Linked DNA regions of Drosophila melanogaster. The gene in region 2 interacts genetically with the main gene of each other region. Each region holds a gene or a part of one and is shown on either strand. Other genes may lie near its edges. The genes, in order: snk and pip.

Region 1 (4,945 bases), on a different chromosome or scaffold from region 2:
ATTGATTGATAAAACAGCTGGACCACACTCCAGTAATCTCCTGCAAATCATGCTTTACCACCTGAATTTCCAACAATGCCAGAGGTACTTGCACAACTATGACAAACTGGCCAATGGCCTGGGATCGGGTCAAATGTGCGCGGGAGACTACTCCGGCAATATGGACACATGCCAGGTGAGTCAAAAGTTTTTGAAATATTAAATGTTTTATTTGACTGGTGATCTTCGATTTCATCAGGGCGATTCTGGAGGACCCTTGTTGCTCCACCAACACATGCGCCATCATCGCCATACGATACCCTATGTGGTGGGTATAACGTCCTTTGGAGGAGCCTGTGCATCCGGTCAACCTGGAGTTTATGTGCGAATAGCGCACTACATTCAATGGATAGAACAACAAGTATGGCCTTGATTCTTTTGAGAAATTAAATGTGTTCTATGCAATTTCAACTTTTTAAAGATAAATTATTACATTTAAAACAATTGTTGAAAAAATTAAAAATTTTAAAAAGCATATTTAATAAATAAAATAAAATGAAACTAGTGCTGCTTGAAGGCAATCTTCTCAATCCAATCCAGGTAGCTATATAGCCTGGTGTAAACTCCTGGGGCATTGGGAGCCGCACAGAATTTTCCAAACGAGGTGATGCCCACCACGAAGGCCACGCAGTTGTATTCCGGCAGCAGGGCATGAATGGGACCGCCGGAGTCACCCTGGCAGGTGTCCCTGCCGCCTGGCAAATATCCCGCACAGAACTGCCCCTCGATGATTCCCCTGGGCAGACGTCGCTCCTTGCGATAGATCTGCTTGCAGGTCATTTGTGGGACTACGTCCAGGTCCACCTGGCGCAGGGCATTCGATTTGGCGCCCAGGAACTCGGTGCGTCCCCAACCGGCGGCCACCACAGTGGGTATCTGGAGCTCCGGCAGTTGCCACAGGCAAGCAGGACGCACCTGCTCCGAGAACTTGACCCTTCTGGTCAGCTTGAGCAGGGCAATATCGTGGTAATATGCCGAGGATCTGTACTTCGGATGCAGCACGATGATGAGGATCTTGATGTCCTGCTGGGTCGCGCTGGTCTCGTTCAACTGGCGGGCGCCCAAGCGAACCATGTCCGGTGGTTTGCTGATGGAGCAAGAAATACAGTTATAGTTGTGTCTTCGAGGATTCTGTCACTCACCTACCAGAGGTGGCACAGTGGGCAGCGGTCAGGACATACAGTTCGCTAACCAGGGCGCCTCCACAGCCCCATTTTATATCTTGATCCTTGGAGCCACTACCCTGCGTCCATCCTAAGGCAGCCATGTGAGGGAAGAGTCCGTGTCGAGTGGGGGTTCCACCGACTATCAGGGGAACACTGGGCACACACTGCTTCCCGGAGAATGTGCGTCCGGTGTCCGTCAAGTGAAGCCTTCTGGCGGCAGCATTGTACTCCTGACATTCTGGAAAGGATTATCTTTAGGATGTAAACTATTCCGATCCTTCGAAGTCTACCTACTGGTGGCACTTATGCGCTGAGCCAGCACATGCTTGTCCGCCAATGGACAACAGATGACAGGGACATTGTTGCGATGGGTGCAGATGTCGATGCGGGTGCCATGCACCCGATACTCTCGAATGACGTGGAGGCACTGATAGGCCAGGATGCAGTATCCACTCCGGCCATCGAAGCTCCGCCGGCAGAAGGCACCTTCGTGAAGTCCTTCCGAAACCGAAGTCCTAACCTCCGCATCGTCGCCGAACTTCAGATAGCTTTCCTCATCTTCGGTGTCCTGATCATCCACGTCCTCGCCAATGGTCGCCACTGGCTGCTCTTTCCAAACTTCGGGGATTGTGTACTTGGTGGTCTGGTAGTTGATTATTTCAAGGGCATCGAGAGCTGTGGGTTTAATTAATATAATATTAGAGGCACCATTAATATATACGATTGATTTACTACTTACCCTCAAGATTTGGAGTCTGCAGGATTAAATGCAAGCATGTCAATTGAAGATGCACGATTAGAGACCAAAGTATTATCATTCTATTTGTGAGTTCTGTGATTTCATTATTTACTTTCTTTCAAACATTTCATATAAGAAGCTGGCATAAATAATGAAAATAGATACTTTAGGGCTTTGTATATATTTTCCAGATTAAACTATAAATTAACCAATATACCCCAGAGGAATTCAGTTTTTCAGAAGACAATGGCCAAAGAATTTCGATTAGCTTCAATATTTGAGCCACCACTGTGCCCAAAACAAACCCTTGCCTGGCTTGGTTGATTTTTTGTTTAATGTATTTTTATTAATTAATGCGGGCGCTCAATTATAAATTCGGATGAATTTCAATAAAACCGTTTGCCAGCGACGCTGCGTTTCAATTCCGCGTAGTGTGGATTGGAAGATCCCAGTCGGATTAAATCGGTCAATCGAGCAAGACCTCTACAGATGGCGGATTGGAAGAGACCTTTGGAGACCTGCATCGCACTCTGTGTGCTCCTGTGCGTATTTCACGTGAACGGACAGTGGGAGTTTCCCGCCCAGTATCCGGAACCGTATCGAAATCCGAATCCGAATCCAGTGCCGGATCCAACCAGGTGGGACTTCAACAACTACAATAGCTACGGTTACAACGGTCAATGGGCGCCGGGCTACTTTAATAACTACGGCTATTATAGACCGCCGCCGCCACCACCTTCTCCGCCATGTGGAAGACCACCGCCTGGATCTCCGCCACCGGGCCCGCCTCCACCTGGTCCTCCACCTGGTTGCCCCGGAGGTCCAGGAGGTCCGCTGCAGCATCGGCAATGGGACAATGGCCCCAGGCAGTGGCAACCACGTCGTCCGCCACCAAATCACCATCGCAACTTCCACAACATCTTCCTGAACACCGAAAGCAAAGTGGACGGGGAGAACTACAACAAGACCGCGGAGACGGAGGACTTGCACGACGACTTCAATGGCCGATCCATTGTGGCACCTGGACAGTACCCGCACATGGTAAGTAATGAATAAATAAAGGTGCAGTCCAAAAAAAAAACAAAAATCGTAGATCAACGAAGGCCAATAAATAAATAAATAAAATCGCACGAAACCGGAATGGGGGAAACGCCAAAGTACCGCCGTTCGCAACACAAACACGACTAAATCTCCGATTGCCGAAATCCAAATCGAAGTCCACCATATCATATCAGTTAACAGTTAATTGGGTACGACTAATCCGCTCTTTAACCGATCTTAGGCCGCTCTGGGATTCCGGAACGAGAACCACGAGATCGACTACAAATGTGGTGGAAGCCTCATCAGCGAAGAGTTCGTGCTCACAGCTGCTCATTGCCTGACTACTCATGGGTGAGCTTTTTATGGATAACAACTTATAGAGAATTAGGCAGAGTATAGCTTTCTTATCTACATAAACTATCTTATGATACTCAAGAGTAAATACGAAGTCTCCTTAACTTACATATACCCCTTAAAATATCTAAATAACCCTTTGATAGGTATTAACTTTAATTTTTCATTTTAACAAGCAAGTATATTAGATATGATAATATAACAGATTATTAAGAACAGCTTTTGGACAATATCTGGATTATTTTCCTTATAGCACCTCGCCCGACATCGTAAAAATCGGAGACATTAAGCTCAAGGAATGGGAGCTCAACGTGGCGCCCCAAAGACGACGTGTTGCCCAGATCTATCTGCATCCACTGTACAATGCGAGTCTTAACTACCATGACATCGGGCTCATCCAGCTGAATCGACCGGTGGAATACACCTGGTTCGTGAGGCCAGTTCGCCTGTGGCCCATGAACGACATACCATACGGCAAGCTGCACACCATGGGCTATGGCTCGACGGGATTCGCCCAGCCGCAGACGAACATACTCACGGAACTGGATCTCTCGGTGGTGCCCATTGAGCAGTGTAACTCCAGTCTGCCAGCCGACGAAGGTTCTCCCCACGGATTACTCACAAGTCAGATATGCGCCCATGACTATGAGAAAAATCGCGATACTTGCCAGGTGAGGAACATAAGTTTTGGGTAAATTTTAGATATAATATTATTATTTTAAAGGGCGATTCTGGAGGACCGCTTCAACTGAACTTGGAACGTCGGCGTCGAAGGCACACAAGTCGTAAACACTATCGCTACTACCTGGTGGGCATCACATCGTATGGAGCATATTGTCGCAGTGAACTTCCAGGTAAATATATAAAAATATATTAAAATATATAAAATGTATAATACTTTTACAAATTCATTCATTTTACAGGTGTTTATACGCGTGTTTCATCCTATATCGATTGGATAGCATCCATAGTGTGGCCTAATTATTATAGCGAATTTACTAATCAATAAAAAGCAGTCTATAAAATGTCACAAACAAAAAGTTGTAAAAAAAAGAAAATTTTAATTTTAATTAAAGCATAGCAAAAAGTACTTTATCTAGGTCTTTTTTTGTATTGTTAGATTGATTGCATTTGTTGCTAGGCACCGCGGTGTGCTGAAATGGTTTATTTAATCAATAATTGCGTTTTGATATGCAAAAAAGTTAATAATGGTAGGGAAGAGCAAAAAGAAGCGTAATAGCAAGGATTCTACATCCAGTAATGCAGGAAGTGGCGAAGGCGAGGAGAAGAAGAAGAAAGAGGGCGGCAAGAAGAAAGGAGGCGTGGGAAAGTCCATTGGTTGCGACATTTTCAATGACGCCGCCATGGAAAACGCCTACTATGTCTGCCATAATGTTCAGGTAAGTCATTACTTAAAGTACATAATCTATTAAAAATAAAAAAAAATATGTAAATTATTTTAGGACGTTCTGAAGTCAAGAGGATTTGCTTGGCCGGATGGCCAAAAGAAGAAAAAGAAGGGAAAGCGCTAAGCGGCTAAATAAACCATTTAAATAAGTGAAATAATTTTAGTTATTTTTTATAAAAATATTCTTGCAATTAAGCT
Region 2 (5,259 bases):
ACCATAAAAAAGAAAGTCGTGTATTTAACCCTACAGCTATAAATTCGTTTGTTTCTTAGTGTGTGAAGAAAAACATTTTAATTGCCGTTTTAAAACATAAAATTTAGCACATATATATGTTTTTGTTAATAATTATTTTTTAATTTGCCACCCGCCGCAGACAGACAGCAATAATTAACTTTCCCGCGGGCCACCGGCAGCGTGTAAAATTCCCAATATGCATCATTTCCATTGCAGAAAGACAGGCAAAATAAAACAAAACGGCATGCAAAACTCGAAAGAAAATGAAGAAAAGAAAAACAAATCACATCACTGAATATAATTACCAAAGAGTAAGTGACTGCATGTCGTGGCGCCCAGAGAAAGAAAGAAACTGGCAAGAAAGAGAAGAATTGCTGAGAAAGGCGCACAGAAGAAAGACTTGAAGACTTGTAGACTCGGCAGCGAAGAGCCAGCTACAGTCTTTTCAAGCGCGGCTTGAGTCTTCGCCCTCTTTCTTTTGGGGCGTTCTAAATAATTTCTGTCACGCTTCGGCTTGCAGTGAAAATAAGAGTGAGTTTTGTTTTTTGTATTAGGTAAACCCTAATCCAAATGGAAAGCAAATCAGAAACGTAATTTATGCTAATTCGAAAGAAATTATTGCATAACTGCACTTCATTCCACTCATTGAGCGTATAATTGTCTTTTTTGACTTTTCAAATCGATTCGAATCGATTCCGACTGATTTTTCTCAACTGGGTGCAACGAACTCATTTTCTACGTATGCTCATTTATCGCGTGTCCGGATAATGAAGCTGCCAAACATCTGTCGCCGAGTTATTTAAGCAAAACCAATTAATTTCATTAATTAATATCAATTTGAGAGCGTACAAAAGAATTGTGCAAATAACGACGTAAGTGTACGCAGCAATATGGCTGGGAATTTATGTATTTATGTTTCTCTGCAGGACAATTCGTATCTGTTGTGATAAATCATATCCATATTCAAATATTTGCACTATTTTGTTGTGCAAATGGCAAGATTACTCGTTTCACTAAGTCGCCTGGCCATCGGAAATGGATAAAAAATAAATGTTTACCTGATTGATTGGCAGACTGACTGAGTGGCCAACTGATTGACTGAGAGTTTGCAGCTGCATGAAATTGTCAAAATGAGCGTAAAATTTATGCTCCAGCCAGCGGTAACCACAGAAAGTATCACACATATCTACATTTAAGCCATGTGTTTAATTAATGCCAGTAATTCATACATTTAATGTAATAATTTGTTCTGCAAATAAACGGGAAATGGGCCTCGCTTCGCGAAAATTAACGAGGGCTTTATAGGAAAAAAGGATATCTAGCAGGGACTCAATAAGTGGGAAAATGTTTAAATAAAATATAAAACATATGTATGTCGTTGATCCAATTTGCCATTAGCTTGAGCTAAGATCTCACAGTTATACGCAAATAGCTGTGAGCCATGACTTCACCACGTTTTGCCTTAATGAAAAGCAAATTCTCACACCCTTTTAAAAAGTCAACAAAAACGGTAAGAAATAGTTTCCCAAAAGCCAATTAGCCCATAACATGTGTAGTCGGTATATCATTAGTTTACATCTCGACGCACTCGTTGCAACAAATTTGGCCATACAAACGGAAAAAAGAGCGAATCTTTCACAATAGCGGACGCAGTGGCTCAGTTCTCTGGCCTAAACACCTTTTAATAGCCAAAATTGTTATGGGCGGCCGCAGAAACCGCCGGCCGTCGACCATCGACCATCGACTAATGAGCGGGCAGTCAAGTTGGGGGGCTCTTAACTTTTATCTGAGCTGACTTGGCCCGAACTGAGCCGAGTTGGGTTCTGTAAAAGGCCAGAACAAACACCGAAAAATGCAGGCCCACACAATGCAGTGGTAGGATGGTGGTAAGACACGGCTCTTTTGGCTACTTGAAATAGTTGAAGTGAGCTCGGCTTTTGTGGTTTTCCTCCTCTTCATCTGCCGCCCCGAGGTGCTACACCAAATGAATTATGAGAAGAATTGAAAATGAAAAACGCAATAAAAAATAGAAACAAGATTGTAGCTTTTAACTGGAGCAGAGATTGAAAAAACGACAGACGCAAGTGCACAGAGAAAAGTTTATGAAACATTTAAAATTAAATGTTGAAGTACAGTGTTTACAAAGCTTTAATACTTGCTTTTAATAAGTCTTCAAAATATAAGAAAACATTTTCAAAGTATAAATAATAAATACAAAAAAAATAAAAGGATAAATAATAGACCCCTTTTTGTATATATAAATTTTTGAAAATATTTTCAATTGATACAGTACTTGGAAGCTCATATCAGCATTCGTAACAATTTTTCATAGCTTAATTAAAAGTACTCAATCAATTTTTTAAAATAAAGTTCTTAAAGCTCGTCGATCTACATAAACCCATCTAAGTCGATGAGATTCATATTAAATTTAAGATCAAAAATATCTATTTCTTCTAGTGTAGCTGCAATTAATTTACTGGCTGGCACTACTTAAAGTCCGTCAAGAATGTTCGAACTGCTCTGGCCAGCAATTGGAGTTTTTATTTAATTTTATTTATCAAATACAACGACCCTGAAACACTATCACTTTTAGCCAGATGCGAAAAACGGAAAGTTAAGCGCTTTTTATGGAGAATCGAGAGCAGAGTATTTTTAATCTTTAGCGCTGCGGCAAACGCAATCTTCGATCTACCAACTCGATTTCGATTCTCTGGCCATTCAATGGCAATTATGACCGGTTTTCAATTTAACTGAAACTGGAACTCAATTGCATTTCCCCTTTGAAACGAACACCGTTCTCGAGTGAAAGAAATCTTTTCTCCGCCGCCTTTTTCTCGGCTGAAGACCACACTTACCGCTTGGGATACGGTATGCGCCGGTATTTGAAGGCATTTTCCACATCGCGCAGTTTCATTTTGTACGATCGCTCGGCGTTCAGAGACATCCAATGTCAATTACACAAAAAACACAATCGCTTGAGATCTTAGTTCTCGAAGACCTTTCTTGGCCGAAAGAATTTTCCGGTCGGCACTTGGGTTCACTTGAGTTCCGATTCACGATTCGAAGACTTAGAGATATAGACGTCCGTAGAGCTCGGCGATCGCGGCTTGACTGAATGTTCCTGGGGGCACTTGGCCGCCTTTTTGGCCAACTTTAAGACGTTGGCAGCGGCGGCTTACCACTGTTTGCTTTTACCATTTTCTTCGACTCTCTTTGGCTCTGTTTATTCGCTCTTTTGATCGCTCTTTGTTCGCTGGCTGACTGATTTCGTGGGGACGTGACTGTAGCCCATTTGTCTGTGGCAACATTTTTATTATTACCCCACATCTGACATTAATCTACTTAGACATATTTATTTAGGTCGTCCAAACAGCGAAGTGTCTTTATTCTCTGCGCAAGGAATCGAATTTCGGGCACTTGTTTCAATATCCTTTATTGGATCAGCTGGTTTACCGACCTTAATGGTAATTTGTTCGGTTGAATAGAACATATTGCGTGTGATCCAAACCACGTTGGCAAAAATAAGAACTTTAGTTTTTTCTATTTCTTCATAGAGGAAGGGAGAATTAGAATTAAAAACAGGTTTACCTTTGAACCCATCCCCCCCAATGGACAGTCGAAAAGTTGACCTTCCCGCTTTTGTAATTTCCATCGATTAGTTTTGGCCATTCGTACATATATAAGCGATTCTTCTCGATGTCTGTCTTCTCGCCTCGTTCGTTAGCCAAACTTCGGGATCTAAGCTTAATTTTTGCCAAACTCAAATCTATAGTTTCTACAAGAGTTGGATTCCGCGATCTCCCCACTTGCTGTCCACAAAGCTAAGCTCATTGACCCTTATTCAACAGTTGACTCTTATGGCACAGTGCCTCAAAGAAATCTTTTTTCCGATTAAATTAGAACATTTAAAAATTAAATTGAGGTACGAATTTTTAATTTACGAGAATTAATACTAGATTTCAATATATTTATACCTTTACTCTTTTATTTAAGTGTGTCTTATCATATATTACTTTAAATTATCTTTTTCAGGTACCTTAACTTTTAACTCTCACTGTAACTGACTTGTCCACTAACTGGCGTCAGACGGCTGTCGAATTTAAGCGTTTACCCATAACTATCTGCATAGGTCCACATTTTTAGGACCGACAAAAAACTGATTGTTTAGTCTTATTAAACTTTTTTTATTTCAGCAACAAGTTGAAAATTCGTGTAAATTTCTCGATAACAATTGCAAAAAAATGGAAAAACGCCAGCCTCAACATAAAAACAGCCAAAACATAAAAGTAAAATTAAAACGAAATGCGTTGGCGGCACATGTCTTGTGTTTATCTGGTAATAATTAAAGGTATTTCAGCATTTGGTACCAAGAAAGTGAGTAGCTAAAAACTTGTAAAGTTGCTGCCTATTGCATTGATGACTGTCCAAATCGACTGAGATAATTGAGCTATCTGAATGATCAGACTCTTTCTCCGATTTCGAAACTTAAAAGCCGACGAGTTGTTAGGCTGTCGGTTTTCGGGTTAAGTTTATCAGCTGTCCAATTGTGGTCGCTCACAATATGTTGGCTATATCTTCGGTCCGATGCCATGGTTTTTTGCTGCCAACTGTCCCTTTGTGGCTGTGCCGATTGCGCTGAGCTGGCCAACTCGATTGTAAACAACTGCAATTGGCCCTAGGTGCAAACACAAATAGCTGATTGTGTGAGTTTGTGGCAGGTGTGCGTATATATTATATTTGGCCAATACTCGGCAGTGTATTTTATGCAGCGAGGTTTTCCATGTTAATTGGTTGGCATGTTTAATACATCCGCTTAAATATATAAAAGAAATTTAAAATCGTATTCGGTAAATAAATTTATTATTTACACAAATTCTAAATTAATATATTATATGTATATGTTATATGTAAGTGCGTACGATAAATAAATAATTTCATCAATTTGCATTAATCTAGAGTGAATACTTTTAGTAGATATATGTATTATATGTATATTAATGACCACGGCATAAAAAGAACTGCAAAATTATTAACTTTAATAGCCAGATATTTAAATGTGTTAATAATAAATAAAAGCAACAAACATACTAGTGATTAGTTTGATAAGCTGTAATACAATAATAACAAAATACATTCAAGGTAGATCCCTCCATTAAATTTGATTATGCTTTGTTATTCAATTTTTTGAGTATCTACCTTGATATTCAAACTTACTGCAAAAACTGCTTTACCACGCCT

What was found.
Region 1: of pip (region 2) and snk, changing one enhances a phenotype caused by changing the other (phenotypic enhancement), as found in Drosophila melanogaster (one study listed by BioGRID).

Annotation. Positions count from the first base shown.
Region 1 is NT_033777.3:13,039,659-13,044,603, forward strand, and holds snk (snake), read right to left. Parts: upstream 3,113-4,945; 5' UTR 3,081-3,112; intron 2,986-3,080; coding exon of another isoform or gene 2,434-2,985; exon of another isoform or gene 2,392-2,433; intron 2,085-2,391; exon of another isoform or gene 2,084-2,084; 5' UTR 2,024-2,083; coding exon 1,945-2,023; intron 1,881-1,944; coding exon 1,500-1,880; intron 1,444-1,499; coding exon 1,182-1,443; intron 1,127-1,181; coding exon 541-1,126; 3' UTR 507-540; downstream 1-506. Other genes in the region: CG11668 (uncharacterized protein), read left to right, coding at 18-175, 239-412; CG11670 (uncharacterized protein), read left to right, coding at 2,434-2,985, 3,227-3,336, 3,593-4,010, 4,064-4,193, 4,263-4,348; CG45122 (uncharacterized protein), read left to right, coding at 4,548-4,739, 4,803-4,871. UniProt on the Drosophila melanogaster protein: Component of the extracellular signaling pathway that establishes the dorsal-ventral pathway of the embryo. A protease cascade involving ndl, gd, snk and ea results in activation of the spz Toll receptor ligand; acts downstream of ndl and gd.
Region 2 is NT_037436.4:19,334,466-19,339,724, forward strand, and holds the start of pip (pipe), read right to left. Parts: upstream 3,145-5,259; 5' UTR 2,966-3,144; coding exon 2,877-2,965; intron 1-2,876. UniProt on the Drosophila melanogaster protein: Sulfotransferase involved in dorsoventral axis patterning in early embryos.